Pelodiscus sinensis: one gene and its partner. The protein of the gene in region 2 interacts with the protein of the main gene of each other region in a biochemical or structural test. Links are inferred from orthologs where the notes say so. Each region holds a gene or a part of one and is shown on either strand. Other genes may lie near its edges.

Region 1 (7,391 bases), about 60 Mb from region 2:
ACATAGAACCATAGAATACTAGGACTGGAAGGGACCTCAAGAGGTCATCGAGTCCAGTCCCCTGCCCTCATGGCAGGACCAAATATTGTCTAGACCCGTGGTCATCAACAGGTTGATTGCGATCGACTGGTCGCTCGCAAGGCCTCGACCAGTCAATCGTGAGGCATCCTGCCCAGCTCCCCTCCGCCCCTGCCATTTCCTCCCCACCCCCGAGAAGCCCCACTACCTACCTTAAGTGAAAATGGAGGTAGTGTCGGCTTCCCGGGGATGGACAGAATCCCGCTGCTTAGCACCACTAATGGCGATTACGGAAGTGCGCTAGCTGCTCTGCCAGGCGTTCTGCGGGAGGGAGCATTGGCTCCAGAGGAGGAACACAGCGACTTCTCTGCACTGCACAGGAGGGGTGAGTCAACCCTGGGGCAGGTGTGCGTGAGGCTTCCCTGCTCCGGGGTGTGTGTGTGGGGGGGGGGAAGGGGTGTCAGCCCCAGAGCTGGCACACGAGGCTTCCCTGTGTGTGTGGGGGGGGGGGAAGAGTTGGACCAGGAGGAGGCACGCACTGGCTTTTGGGGGGGGGGGGGGGGAGGAGAGTGGCGAGAAGAATCCTGGGAGGAGGCAGATGCAGGGGACTCTCTGCCTCCACTGCCCCCCCCCCGCCCCGTCCCCACTCCCCTGTCCACAGCTACAGAACTCTGTCCCCACTCCCCGAACTCTGTCCTCATTCCCATCCCGAGCCACAGAACTCTGTCCCCACTGGCACCCTGTCCCCTGCCAAAGCACCCACTAGCACCCTTCCCCAATACTATATCCCCTGTTCCCACCAACACAGTTGGGGCCACATTAGTGAAGCTTGAGGGGGATGGGGTGGAGGAGGGTTTTTTTTGCATCTCACTTGTGTGGCCCCAACTGACTTTTCTTGGGTCAGTGACCCCGGACTCAAGACAGGTTCCCTGCCCTTCTCAGAAATAAAGACAATGCAAAAAACTTTGTTTGACACAGTAGTTTATTTAAAAATGAAGCAAGGCCAACAAACCCCAAATTGGAGCCAAGCCCCCATCTGGCCACAGCATCATAACACTCCTACACTCTCCTTTCCCTCAGACCTGAGCCTATCATACACCAGAACCCCCTGCCCTGAGCTCCTCACATACCCAAACCCAAATTCCTGGATGTGAGGGTTCAGAAATCTGTGGCTTGCTTAGTACCCTAACCCTACATCTGACCCCAACACTGCCCAGCCTGGCACCCTCTCCCAGAGCCAGTGTTCCCTTATCCACCTTCTCCTGCATCCAGATTTCCTCCCAAAGCTTGCACACCTCACCCCTTCCCACACTCAAATCCCTCATCCCCACCCCAGAGCCTACATATCCTGTCTCAACCCAGCAAGATTATGGCTAGACTGCAGGAGTTTTTCAGGATTCTGGAGATAGCCCAGAAAAATTCTTCTGCATCCAGGGACGCATTTGTTCTTCCACTTCTTTTAGTGGAAGAGCAAACATGATCTTTCGGTCACCTCTATATTCCTCTCTCCACAAGGAATAAGGGGGCTTCCAAAAGAAGTTTTTTTTGACATTTGGTCCAGTCTAGACAGGCCAAATGTTGGAAAAACCTCTTCCTACAGAAGAATTGGGGAAAAAAGCAGCAGTATAAGGGCTGGGGATAACAAGTGATGGAGAGAAGGAGAATACAAAGGGCAGAGCTTCAAAGAAGGGGCAGGGCTGTAGATCTTGGCTTGTTCTGTCATTTAAAAAGTGACCTTGGGTGTGAAAAGTTTGGAGACCACTGGTCTAGACCATCCCTGATAGACATTTATCTAACCTACTCTTAAATATATCCAGAGACGGGGATTCCACAACCTCCCTGGGCAATTTATTCCAGTGCTTAACTACCCCTGACAGTTAGGAACTTTTTCCTAATGTCCAACCTAAACCTCCCTTGCTGCAGTTTAAGCCCACTGCTTCTTGCCCTATCCTCAGAGACCAAGGAGAACAATGTCTCCCTCCTCCTCGTGACACCCTTGTAGATGCTTGAAAACTGCTATCATGTTCCCTCTCAGTCGTCCCTTTTCTAAAAGAAACAAGCCAAATTCTTTCAGTCTTCCCTCATAGCTCACATTCTCTAGACCTTTTATGATTCTTGTTGCTCTTCTCTGGACCTTCTCCAATTTCTCCACATCTTTCTTGAAATGTGATGCCCAGAACTGGCACAATACTCCAGTTGAGGCCTAATCAGCGCAGAGTAGAGCAGAAGAATGGCTTCTCCTGTTCTGCTCACAACACTCCCGTCAATGCAGGGACTCCCAACCTGGGGTACGCATACGATACGAGAAGCTTGTCAAGGGTGTGCGGGGAATATTTGGTAAATAACTAGATTATCCTAATTGAAATATTCCAAAAGTAGCAGTGTTAGTGAAAAAAGTTGTGGATTCTAGAGTCTAGAATTTATTTCTTTTCATATTGAATAGGGGGTACGGGAAGGTTTACTAAAAGCCAAGGGGGGGTACAAGGACCGGAAAAGTTGGGAACCCCTGCATTAATGCATCCCAGAATTGTGCTTGCTTTTTTTGCAACTTTTTTTTCCATTGCAAAAAACACTGGAATATTACCAAACACTAGAGACCAAAAAACCCATAGATCATCACACAAGGCTATCTTTATGCGGCTGCATGGGGCACTACTAAGTTTGGGGCACCAGTGCTCTATGCCGCGTTTATCAAGTAGGTAAGACGGGCAGTGTTGGCCCCGGCGGCCCCATCCCCTGGTCCCCATCAGCGCCAGCTGCTCACCCACTGCACCTCACAGGGGCCAGTAGTGGTGTCACCCCCGCTCCCGCCGGGATCCCGCACTAGGGCCGGACGCGCGCAGAGGGAGCCAGCCCGGGGGGGGGGGGGGGCAAGAGCGCTCTCCAGCCTAGCCCAGAGCACCTCACCAGGACTCCGCGCCACCCCACCCCGCCTAGGGCAGGACAACACAGGCCGCCCCGCTCCGACCGGGCGCCACACCCGGAGGTTTCCGCCTTTTCCCACCTGCAGCTGGCGCCTCTCACAGCCACCGCCAAGTCCGGAGCGCGAGCGGAGCCGTCGCTTTAATGCTCCATACTGAGTCTCGTCGCACCAGCAACACCTGCCCGGCAGGCAGAGCCACCGACCCCGCCCGCCCCACCGGAACTGGAACCGGAACTCAGCACCGCCCACCTGCCGGCAAACCAGGAAGAGCCACATTCAACATGGTGGAGAGAAAGGCACCTCGTGGGCCACACTCAGCATGGCGGCTGGCCCCATTGTCGCGACCGCCACCCAGCAGAGCGAGAAAAGAGCGAGCCGCGCGGACTCGCACAATCAACATGGCGGAGAGCGGAGGTCAGTCGACCTAAGCCGGAACACCGAGCTAGCTCCGAGCATGCGCGCTGACTGTCAGTCTCTTTCCTGCTCTCAGCAAGCGGGGCCGGGTCTGCAGCAGCGACCTTTGTTCTTCCCCAGCGATGCGGGATCCTGCTTGTCTCCTGCTCTTGGATGTTGACGCTGGGTTTCTGAAATATTTTTGTTTGTCTTATGAGCCTTGTCGTGCCTCTTGTCTCAGCTTCAGTCCCAGTGCTAGTCCCCAGCCTGGGCAGGCAGGAAGCCTGTAGGGTGATTTTTCACTCGTTTGTAAGGACTTCTCTTGATTGGTGTCTAACATGTCAAGTCCTACATGTAAAAACCATAATTATTTTGTCTTGTTTTTCAATTTGCGCTGGTTAGGCCTCAGTTGGAGTATTGTGTCCAGTTCTGGGCACATTTCAAGAAAGATGTGGAGAAATTGGAGGGGGTCCAGAGAAGAGCAACAAGAATGATTAAAGGTCTAGAGAACATGACCTGTGAAGGAAGGCTGAAAGAACTGGGTTTATTTAGTTTAGAAAAGAGAAGACTGAGGGGGGGGGGACATGATAGCCATTTTCAGGTACCTAAAAGGGTGTCATGAGGAGGGAGAAAACTTGTTCATCTTGGCCTCTGAGGATAGAACAAGCAGCAATGGGCTTAAACTGCAGCAAGGGAGGTTTAGGTTGGACATTAGGAAAAAGTTCCTAACTGCCAAGGTAGTTAAGCACTGGAATAAATTGCCCAGGGAGGTTGTGGAATCTCCGTCTCTGGATATATTTAAGAGTAGGTTAGATAAATGTCTATCAGGGATAGTCTAGACAGTATTTGGTCCTGCCATGGAGGCAGGGAGTGGACTCGATGACCTCTCAAGGTCCCTTCCAGTCGTAGTATTCTATGATTCTATGATTTTGTATGTGTGTGAATTTCCCCAGAATATGTAAGGGAGATCAGGAAATGTACCAAAGTTTCTGAAACTGCAGACTAGAATCAATAACACGACCTCAAGTGTACATATAGTGAATGATAACACTTCCCCTTCCCCAATATAGGGGCAAATGTTAATGCCTTTATTCATGTTGAAAAATCTCTGTATCATATCAGTAGCTGTTTGCAATGTCCCTGTAGCCCTACTGGTCCCAAGATATGAGAGAGACAGGGTGGATATGGGTAGTATCTCTTATTGATCAATGTTGCTGCATGGTGCTGTGATGGACCACAGCAATTTCTGCTTCCAAAAAACTACAGTTGTCAAAAGGCAATTGCCAGTTGCTGCCCTGAGCCACAGAAACTACCATTTCCCTCTGCTTTCCTTTCAGATGAGCGAACCAAGCTTTTGAACTGATCTCTTTTTCAGTTTTATCAGTAAGACTAGTCTCAGAGTAACACACCACTTATCCTGTAAGGGTAGTGAAATAGGCCCATAATGGGAAAGAGGAATAGACAGAAAGAAAAACTACATTTGCTGGGGATGGGAAGTTACTGTTCAGAGCCAAGGAACAGATAGTATTCTATTCTATAGCAGTGTAAGTTCTACATTTAAATAGCAGTTATTCTCTTATTAGCTACTCATTAGGATTCTGTTGATTCCCAGACTGGTTGAGTCCAAGAGTCCCTCAGCAGAATATAGTCGTAAAGTAGACTGTGATGACCTAGTAAGCATATGATGCCCCTTTTTCTGATGTTGAGTTCTCCCATGATAGCCTCAGCAAAGTCTCCATGGCTTCCGGCTACTGAGCTGTTCTGCTTGTTAGTGATTTACAAGGCAAACGCCTCAGGGCTGGAGCCTTTTCCCATGTTCTGCAAAGTGCCAAGTACACGTATTGCACCATATAAAGTGCACCAGGACCCCATCCGGTCCTGTGTGATCAGCGTTGCTGCTGGCGGGCGGCAGGGTGCCGCGATGGACCACAGCAATTTCCGCTCCCAAAAAACTACAATAGCCAACAGGCCAAGCGCGGCCCTGATCCGCAGAAACGGCCGTTTCCCAGCGTGCAGGCAGTGTGCCGCGCTCGCGGATTGGCTGCGGGAGCGCACGCTCCCCTGGTCCTGCGCCGCGCTTCCCTCTCGGGTCGCGCTTCTCAGCCGTTTTCCTGGGGGAGCCGCGGCCGGCCCCGGGTAGGCAGCGGGGCCTGCTCGGTTCGAGCCGCGTGATGGGCGGCGGGGCTGCCGCGCTGTCGTGGGACCAGGAGGACGCGGCCTGTGAGTAAAGTCCTGGCGGGCAGGGGCTCGGCGCCTGGAGATGCTGCTCCCTTGGAGGGGGTGGGGATCGGTAATGGCTCAGGAATGTGTGTGGGATGGGGAGCGGGTGCAGAGGCGGCGGGGCAGGGGGTGTCGGGGGAGACAGGCCGGGGGGAGGGGGTGACAGTGGGCCGTGGCTAGGAAGGCGGCGCGGGATGGCTCTTGCAGTATAGTGTGTGTGTTTTTTCTAACGCCGTTGCTCTTGATCTTTTGCCATTGGGTTGTGCAGAATTTCTCCAGCATCAAAGCAAACGCCTATTTACAGATCTTTAACTCCTCCCCGACCGCTATACTGGTATCTGAACTGTGCCGGTAGTAGCTGCCCTGCTTTATGCCCATACTCACTCTGTCACTCAGGTATGGTAGCACATCTGAAAACAGGGGTGAACTTGCATCTAAATATATCCAGTGTGTGAGGTTGGTGAAGGGTACATGTAGGTGAAAATGTTAATTTGGTCTTGTAATATGCCAAAATATCAGACACACGTTTTGGAAGATGATGCATTTTAAAGTAAGCACCTATGCTTCTAAAAAGCAACGAGTCTTGTGGCACATTATAGACCAATGTTTCCCAATTTTATTTGGCCACAGAACTCTTTTAAACTTGAAAGAATTTTGCAGAACCCCGAATAACAGTCTAATATATGGAGCTGAAAAAGTAGACCACAAATAAGTAAGGAAAATAATAAACAAATGCTAAACAAGGTCACGAGATCAACATTTAGTTTAATTGCACATATCTAAAAAGAAAACTCATATAATATTAATTTTTTTAATAAAAAATGTTGTTGTAATGGAATTTTCTCATGGAACCCTTATTTTCACTTCATGGAACTCCTGGGTTCCATGAAATACCATTAGGGAAACACTGTTACAGGCAGTCCCCGAGTTACGCGGATCCGACTTACGTTGGATCCGCAGTTACGAACGGGTCCCTCCCTCTCCCTGGTCTCCAGCAGACCAGGGAGAGGAAGCAAAGCGGCGGAACATGCGGGCAGCGGACAGCACAGACGCGTCTGGGCTGTCCGCTGCCCGCGTGTTCCGCCGCTTTGCTCCCCGTCCCCCTGGTCTGCAGACCAGGGGGACGGGGAGCAAAGCAGAGCAAAGCTGCGGAGCCTGGGGTTCTTAAGTTGAATCTGTATGTAAGTCAGAACTGGCATCCAGATTCAGCCGCTGTTGAAACTGATCAGTTTCAGCAGCGGCTGAATCTGGATGCCAGTTCCGACTTACATACAGATTCAACTTAAGAACAAACCTACAGTCCCTATCTTGTACATAACCCGGGGACTGCCTGTATAGCCTAGTATCAGAGGGGTAGCCGTGTTGGTCTGGATCCGCAAAAGCGACAAGGAGTCCTGTGGCACCTTATAGTCTAACACAGGGGTCTCCAAACTACGGCCCGCGGGCCGGATGCGGCCCGCGAGGCCCTCTCATCCGGCTCGTGGAGACCGTCCCTGGGGCGCCGCCGAACGGGCCCTTCTTGCCGCGGTGGGGGGGCCCTGTCAGGGGTGTGCGGCGTGTACTCACGCCGCGCCGGGGCAGGAGAAGCGGGCCGCTCCGCTGACAAGCGGCCGCGCGGCAGCAAAGGGGGCGGGGGTTAGCACGGGCGGCGTTCCCCTGCCCAGACTGACAGGGCAGCCGGCCAATCAGGGGGCAGGATGGGCGGTGGTGGTAACGCCTGCCCGGCGACGTGCGGGGGAACGTGAACCCCGGCGGGAACTTTAAAAAGGTGACCCCTGATTTAAATCAATATTAAATTCTTTCAGATCTCTCCTAAAACACCAGATCTAGTGCCTAA
Region 2 (7,859 bases):
GCAGGACAGAACCGTTTCCAAGACAGATCAGCCATGTTAGCTGTCCATAGCTCCTCCTCCCTTCACCCCCCCCTCCCACTGCCAATTTGGGACTCCAGCCCAACGCGGAATAAAAATAAAATTAATCCCCTTCTCTTGCTCCCCCCTCCCTCCAGCATTTTATCTCCTCTTCTTCTGGCTGATGGCTTTGTAATCCCAGCTAAATCCCTGTCACTCTCCCCCGCCCCCTTCTCTCCCAGCCTCCAACAGGGTAACCCCAGGACCAGCAGAAAGAGGAGAGCTCAGAGCACATCTGTACCACAAAGATGAACCCCCACCCCAAAGCAAAGAGAGAGAGACTGACCCCAGAATAGTCCACCTGTAACACAAGAGTCACTGGTTCAAGGCCCCCCCTCTCCCCGATTCAAGGCAGAAATTGGTCTCTGACGTCCCACAGGAGTACCTGAATCATCAGGCGACTGTGAGGACACAGATTTCTCTGTCTCTGGTTGGTCCCATGCAGAAAATAAATCTGCAAACTGCCTTTCAGTGAACAACTGAGCGCTCTTGTTTTCTAGCCGTCACTGGGGTGATGGCGAAGGGCTGAGTTTAACCCCTTGTGTTCTGCAGGGACACATCTAGACTGGGAACGGCCTCTGCTCTGGGACAAGAGATCCATCTGATCCATCCATTCCGGGCAGGTCAAGGCTTTTTTGGGAGGAAGCTGTTAGTTTGACAGGCCTGATGTGATCCTTAGGGTGAACATTTACCTCAGGAGATGCTGGTTCCTATCAGGGGCCTGTTTTCTGGCACAGCCTGCTCTCGCCCCATGAAAAGAGCCATTGTTTGGATCTCCTCACAGGGCCTCCTATAGCAGGTGCAATTCAAACAAGGCACAGGGCCCCAAGGCTGGGGCAGTGTCACCTCTGGAAGGCCTGCACAGAGGGAGTTGGGTTGTGTCATTGTTCCCGCTCAAAGCCCTACAGATTTCCCCTCCCCCGTGCCCTTCCTTTGCCACATCTTCATTCCCCACAGCAACCTTCCCCCTCTCTCCTTTTGTAGCAAAGCCAGAAAGTGTGGCCTTTCCCCTGCCGTCTGGGATCAGTGGATCATTAGCCCTATTTCACAGATGGGGAAACTGAGGCACAGGAGGAGAGACCCAGGTAAAGTCACACAGTGACCCAGGGAAAGAGCTCCAGGTGTCTAGGCCCATGCTCTCACCCCTCATCACTATAGCCCAGCCTGGTGGAGTGGACTATCACCAAACCTGGAGAAGATAGGCAGCAGATGTAGTTGCCTCAGGCAACAGGACACAACAGGGATGGTTTAGTCTTCAAATACCTGCTCTCTTGAACGGGATGCATTCCAGACTGGGAACTAGACCCACTTCCCACAACACTATATACAATTTCTCTGATACCTCTGACCAAAAGCCACAGAGCTACCCTGAAGCAAAGAAGCAGCATACAGGGTACCCAACCCCAGAGTTCCCACCCAGTTCAGCTCAATTGCTGCCCACATGCTCCTAGGCAAGGCACAGCCTGTATTGCACCTGGGCCGGTGCCAAGCAGGCAGGGGAAAAGAGCAGGGAGGGGACAGCTAACCCTGGAGCCTCACAGACAGAGACCTGCCCTGGCAGGATGGAGACAGAGTTTAGTTTGGCCTTGGATTCCCTGTGTTCATCCCTTTGTCTGATACATGTTTAACAAGCGCTTCCTGGCAACGAAAGCAGTGAGAATCTGACCCCGTGCCAGCAGGCAGCCTCACCCCAGCGGCCTGTCATCTGACACCAGTGACCCCGCCAAGGGCTCATACACAATTCTCACCAGTAGCCTACACTAACTTACGTGCGCAGCTCCCTCTGGGACCCCTCCCATCATGTGGCCCCTGGGAGCTTGCACAGGCTCACATAAGGAAAGGTGGGTGCAAGCAACCCTCCAAGCACAACGCAGCTCACGAGTGTCCTTACACTAACACCACATTGTGCACAGCACCCAGCGCTCACAAGCAACCCCCACACACGCACACAAAAGAAACCAGCACCAGAGGCAGTGCTCCCAAGCAACCCTCTAAAGAGTAGCCCCAGGCACTAACCCATCCCCATGATCAGTCAGCAGGTGCCCTTGTGGTGGGGGGGGAGGGGAGCAAAGACAGCCACTGAGAAAAGTGTCATGGCAATACCGGGCATGACCCTGCGGGAACTGTCATTGTGGGGTCCCACTGCGGGCAAGGCCGTTAACGGCCAAGCTGAGCAATGGGCAGGAAAAAAAAAAAAAAACTTCCCCAGGAGGAAAAGCAAAGGAGGAAGTTGCCAGCTCAACTCATCCTAATACAAGCGGGAGGGAGGGGGTGTTGAGGAAGGTTAGGCTGAAGAAATGGTCCCCCCCCCAGTCTCAACTGCCCCTCCAGGTTCCTCCTTCTAAGATAGCCAACGGCCACTAGCCCGTGCCCCACTCCCTGGTCTCAGAGGGCAGAACAACCTCAATCTTCACCAGTTTAATCTTCAGGACATTTCATGCAGATGCTGTTCTCACTCCCTCCTCCTCCCGGAGCATTAATACCCCTGCAGTGGGGCTGCCCCCAATGCAGCATTACACATCATGCTGCCCCCCCCCCCCCCAATACCCTCCAGCTTCTCTTCTGGAGCGAGAAGAGTCTCCAAATTGGGGGGGGGGGGACGCTTAATTATTTCCCTCCTTAACCCATATAAGGGAGCTGAGAGGAGTGGATGATACTGGATAGACCAAGGAGCTGGGGGTGGGGATGACACTGGACATACCAGGACACTGGTGGGGGGGGGGGGGGGGAGGATGAGCGGACAGACCGAGGCACTTGGCGGGGGGGGGGGGAGAAGAGAGGGGGAAAGGAATGCTAGCGGACAGACCGAGGCACGGGGAGGGAGAACAACAGTGGACAGACCACTGGGGGGGGGGGGACCGACCAGGGACGGCGCGGGGGAGGGGGGGGGCGCAAGTGTCCCCCACAGCGGGCGAGCCCCCCACGCGCTATAAAAGGCCAGTCTGATTATTAGCCCGGACACGGGACGCCCTGCTGCAGCCCCCCGGCTCGGCCCGGGGGGGGGGGGGGGGCGAACTCACGGCTTTCAGCTGCTCCAGCCGATCCTTCATGGTGCCCCGCTGCTCCTCCCAGCAGGTGCGGGCGCGGCTGGCTCCAGGAAGTCCTGGACTGTGCTTCGCCTCCCTCCCACCGAGCTAGGGGGAGGGGGGGAGGTTCCTTAAAGCGGGACAAACAATAACCCCCGGCCCGGCTCGGCTCGGCTCGGCTCTCCCCTGCTCTCGCTCTGTGCCTCCGCGGGCGGCCGGGCGCAGCTGATCCTCAGGCAGCCGCCAGCTGCTGCTCCTCAATGACATCCACTGGGCGGGAGCGAGCTGGCCGGAGAGGGGGAGGAGACAGAGAGGAGCCTCCTCCTCCACCTGTGCAGGAGTCAGCTGCCCCGCAGGTGCACGAGGGATCAGCCACGAGGGAGGCAAAGGTGAGGCAGGCGGCGTGAGCAGCTCTGTGGCCAGCCGACGTCGGTGCGATCAAAGACATGACCTCCTCCACCCTGGCTCTCTAATGACCTGGGAGCCACCCGGCCACACCAATTAAAGGGACAGGCAGGCCAAGCTGGGCTGGGCTCAGACTCCAAGGTTTGCCCAGATCAGACAACAGGATTGCTCAGAGAAACCTCTCCTGCCCTGCTTGTGGCTTGTAATCAAATGGGAATTTTTCAGCCAGCCCGCCTTTGCCTCCCCGCTTGGGAAAATGAGCAGGGATTGCATGTGATGTTCCCTCGAACTTGATTCCATTCCCTGTGCGGAATAAATTTTGTTATATGCACCGAGGCATGCGCATATGTGCACCACCCACAGAAACACATGTGGGCGCTCTGCTAATCAGCTGGGCGGCATTTGATTCTCTCCTGGGTGGTCACCCAAGCACTCAGCTTACAGGGAACACTGATTTATGGTACCTCCCCATGCCTTGTCTGCTGTCACAGAAGGAAAAGCCCAGAACAAACACCTCAGCTGTTAAAAGGCTGTTAAAATTCCTTTGGATTTAATCATTGCTGAGGCCAGTTACTAAGGCAGGGAAGGAGATGGGGCCCAAGCAACAGGAATTGGGGGCCCACCTGCCCAGGGCTCATTGCAACATCAGGGCCTTGGCATTTTGGGTGGGCTTTGATTGTGTCCAGCATGTGTGTGATGATTTTTAAGGTGACAGGGTCCCTTTAAAGGTCCAGCTGACAGCCTGATTGCCTGAGGGACTTGTCCCCAGCTCCAGTGAGAGCCAGCACCTTTCAGGTTCAGCTCCTCCCTGGTGAACTCTGCAAGGAAATAATAAATGGAGCTTGTGACGTTCTTTACTTCTTTGTCATCTTTAAAGAAAATGGAAAGGAGGGGAAAGGGAGGAGGGGAGCTGGGCTAATATGAAACCTGATTGAGAAAGGGAGCTATTTTGATTGAAGATGTTTAAGATTCGGTGAGGGGGGATTGCATGGCTCAGCTCAAGGGAGAGGAAGCAAAAATGACTTTACACCACCTTTGTGCCTCCCTTAGTTCTGGGCAAGTCAGGGGCCAGGTCAGTCCTCTCTCTAAGTTATGACAGCCCTGTGATCCAGAGTGGCCCTAAAGGTGTGAATTAAGGTCAGGGTAGGCTTGCCTAGTGGTTAGAGTGTTGGCTGGAGACCCACACTGAATTCTCTGCCCTGCCACAGATTTCTTGTGTGATCTTGTCCCTCTGCACCTCTGTTTGCCTATCTGTGCATTGGGCTTAATAGCACTGCCCTGTGTGTGAGGACCAATACATTAAAGTCTGCGAGGTGCTCAGATATCACAATGATGGGGGGCATATAAGTATGTTGGATTTGAATTACACTCCCTCCCTGCCCCACTTCTGTCCCCAGAGCTTGTAAGGATGCCTGCATAGAGCTTATCCTACAGAGTACCTGCCCCAGAGAAATTCTTCCTAGGGACTAGGGAGGGGTTACTAGGGGTTGCACATGTTGCTTGTATCTGATGAGCTTATTGTACCCTGGGGGCTCCTTGCCTCTGTCCACTCGCCCCAATAGCTCCCTGGATGCCACCCTCACACCCCCTCTATTGTAGTGAGGATCCCCCAGGCAGGGTCTCTGTGTGCCCCATGTCCCCTACCTTCCATACCAGAGGTCCCCATTTTTCCACCTGCTTTGCATGAACACCTATTCCAACATCCTCCGAACAGCAAACACTCTTTGTGCTCCCTTCCTCCCTCCCTCATTCTATAGTCCCCCTTCTCCCCTCCATAGCAGGGGTCTGTATGCTCCCTCATTTCCATCCCCCACCCCCGGGGTCCCCATTCCTTCTTTCTTCCAATCCCCTCCTTCCCAGGGGTTCACTGTGCTTCCATTCCTGTCTTTCCCTATACCAGGGCCCCCATGGCAGGGGCTTTGTGTGCACCCACTTCTTCCCTCTGCCAGGAGCTCTGTCTGCCTCCCATTCCCATCTGACTATTGTCTTTGACTCTGTCACCGGAGAGAGTCCGTGGACAGTCCTCCCCAAGTTCCGCTTCCTCAGTAAATTTCTGAACATCACTAAATCATTCCATGTGGGAATGCCGCTTCATGTCCTTATCTGAGGCTGCGTTTCAGCTCCCTTGGCTGTGGAGTAAAACATGGCTGTGCTCCAGCTTGCACACTATTTAGCATCGTGTTGGCAGCTGTGATAATAGATGCATTCGGAGACATTGATTATGGCGTTTATGTGAGTACCCTGTGGATGGCAGTGTCTTCTAGCTGTACTGCATGCCGGCAAAGACACAAGTTAGGAAGACAATTGAACTACTGTTCATTGATGATTGTGTTTTATTGGCCCATAACTTCCGGGACAGTCAGTTGCTCACTGGGGCCTGGTCTACACTAGACCAGGAAGATCAGCAAAATGCGTAGCTGGAATCAGCTTATCTTAAGCCCAGCCGCCGCAGCATCTACACTGTGGGAAGCCAACAGGAGCACACGCTCACATCGGCTTCCCTTACCCCACACAGAATGAGGAGTACACCATGCCGGCAGGGGCTGCCCTCAGTGTTCAATTTGGGGATCTATACTAGCTCTGCTAAATCAAACACTAGACGATCGACCTCCGGAGGGTCAATTTTCTCCATAGTGTAGTCAAGCCCTGACTGCTTTTCCTGGGCTGCAAAATGTTTTGGCTTAACTGTCTGCCTGAAGAAGGCAGGAGTCATGCTTCAGTCTCGATCAAGAAATGCTGCAACTATTCCAGTGGTGTCTATCAATGGCACATCTCTTGAGGTCGCTGACAAATTTGCTGCTCACGCAAGGTCATTTCACAAGCTGCTTTCACCAGTCACTTTTGAAAATTGTGGCCACACACATACCACTAGACATTGGGTTTGGTTTTGCTTATTGGCCTGTTTTATTAAAAGAAAGCACGCAGAAGCAAAAACCAGAAAGCAAGAGACCTGTATGGCTGCATTCCTTTATTCGGCTGTCAGGGATAATATCTGAAATGCTGCTCTAAATGTCTTCCTCGTGGCATTGTTTCAATTCTATGTCTTGAAAAATTAATATATTTTTAATTAAAAAAGAGGGCAGAAATGATATGTATAGAGTATTTATTTGGGAAGTGGGGAATGTATAGACTACTAGAAGATTTACCCGGCATTGCTTGGGTCCTTACCTCATTTAAATCATTGCTTGGGGGTGGGGTTGGGGTTGGGATGTGGTGTTTAGGGTGAAGGTTGCTACTAGAAAAGAGGGCAACACCAGCCCTCTCTCACTGCAGCAGTTTGGGGGCAGCAAACACACAGGAGGGGTATATATGCTCTGGCTGTGGGCCAGACAGACACACAGACAGACGAACTGTCAGAAATATATAGTCGATAGCTGCTCTTTTCTCTACCCTGGCCCCTTGCTGGCTCAATGGGAGTATAGCTGTGCCAATCCCCATCTCTGGCACCTTGCTGCCCCCCTGTGGTCATTCTACAGTATAACTCCCTCTTACCAGGCCCCTCCTTTCCATCTTATAAGAAACAATAAAATTCCAGGCACATCCCATTGTCTTGGCACAACCAAATCCTGACCTTGCTGTATGTTTTGATAAGAGGAAGCTGTATCCTGAAATTTGGTGGTCCTAGCTCTTACCATGTAGGAGGAATTCCTGAACAAACAGACTCACAGACAGGCAGACATTTCTAAAATATATGGTACGTTTATTAATACTTTTTTTGTAAAAAATAAAGAGGGCAGCAGTTGTATTTATAGATTATTTATTTGGGGGAATGCAATGTCTACCCTGCCACAGCTCTGGGTGGGGGGAATGTAAAGCGCTGTGGGCCTAGAAAAGGGTCTAAAGATTCCCCAGATCGTGCTGTCACCTTAATAGCTCTGCTTGGCAATACTCGGCCTTCACTGCCTAAGTTAAAAAACTGATCTCTATTAGCTGTGGCTATCGCAGGCTGTCTCTGTGTCCCAGCCATATCTGGAGGTGGGCACAGCACCACACAGAGTGTGTGCCAAGGGTACACTGAGCACTTGGGAGTCTGGGCTAGAAGAGATTACTGTCTTCCCAAAGGACAACCATGCTTGAATCCCCCTAAAAACGACGGGCGACAACAGCCATCTTTCCTAGGGGCTTTCACCTTGAAAGGCTATGGAGAAACAGTAGCCATCTTGACAAAGGGCAGCCTGTGACTTTGATAACGCCAGCAATACTTGGGAGAGGGCGGCCATTTGGGATACGAGCAAGGCTATGTACGGGAGAACATGAAACACCTTAAAAAGACATGAGCCCTCTGGTAAACTCCTGAGACTGGGCCTGCTGGTAAACTCCTGAGACTGGGCCATCCTGCCAGTTACTGCTGTTCCTGAGTGTCTCAGTGAC

Evidence for each region.
Region 1: the proteins of STX3 (region 2) and SNAP23 form a complex in vitro, tested with the Homo sapiens proteins (3 studies listed by BioGRID). The link is inferred for Pelodiscus sinensis from reciprocal best matches to the Homo sapiens genes STX3 and SNAP23.

The regions. Positions count from the first base shown.
Region 1 is NC_134714.1:66,552,212-66,559,602, reverse strand, and holds the start of SNAP23 (synaptosomal-associated protein 23), read right to left. Parts: upstream 3,185-7,391; 5' UTR 3,023-3,184; intron 353-3,022; exon of another isoform or gene 231-352; intron 1-230. UniProt on the Homo sapiens protein: Essential component of the high affinity receptor for the general membrane fusion machinery and an important regulator of transport vesicle docking and fusion.
Region 2 is NC_134714.1:126,383,901-126,391,759, forward strand, and holds the start of STX3 (syntaxin-3), read right to left. Parts: upstream 3,282-7,859; 5' UTR 3,108-3,281; coding exon 3,078-3,107; intron 485-3,077; exon of another isoform or gene 452-484; coding exon of another isoform or gene 443-451; intron 1-442. UniProt on the Homo sapiens protein: Potentially involved in docking of synaptic vesicles at presynaptic active zones. Apical receptor involved in membrane fusion of apical vesicles.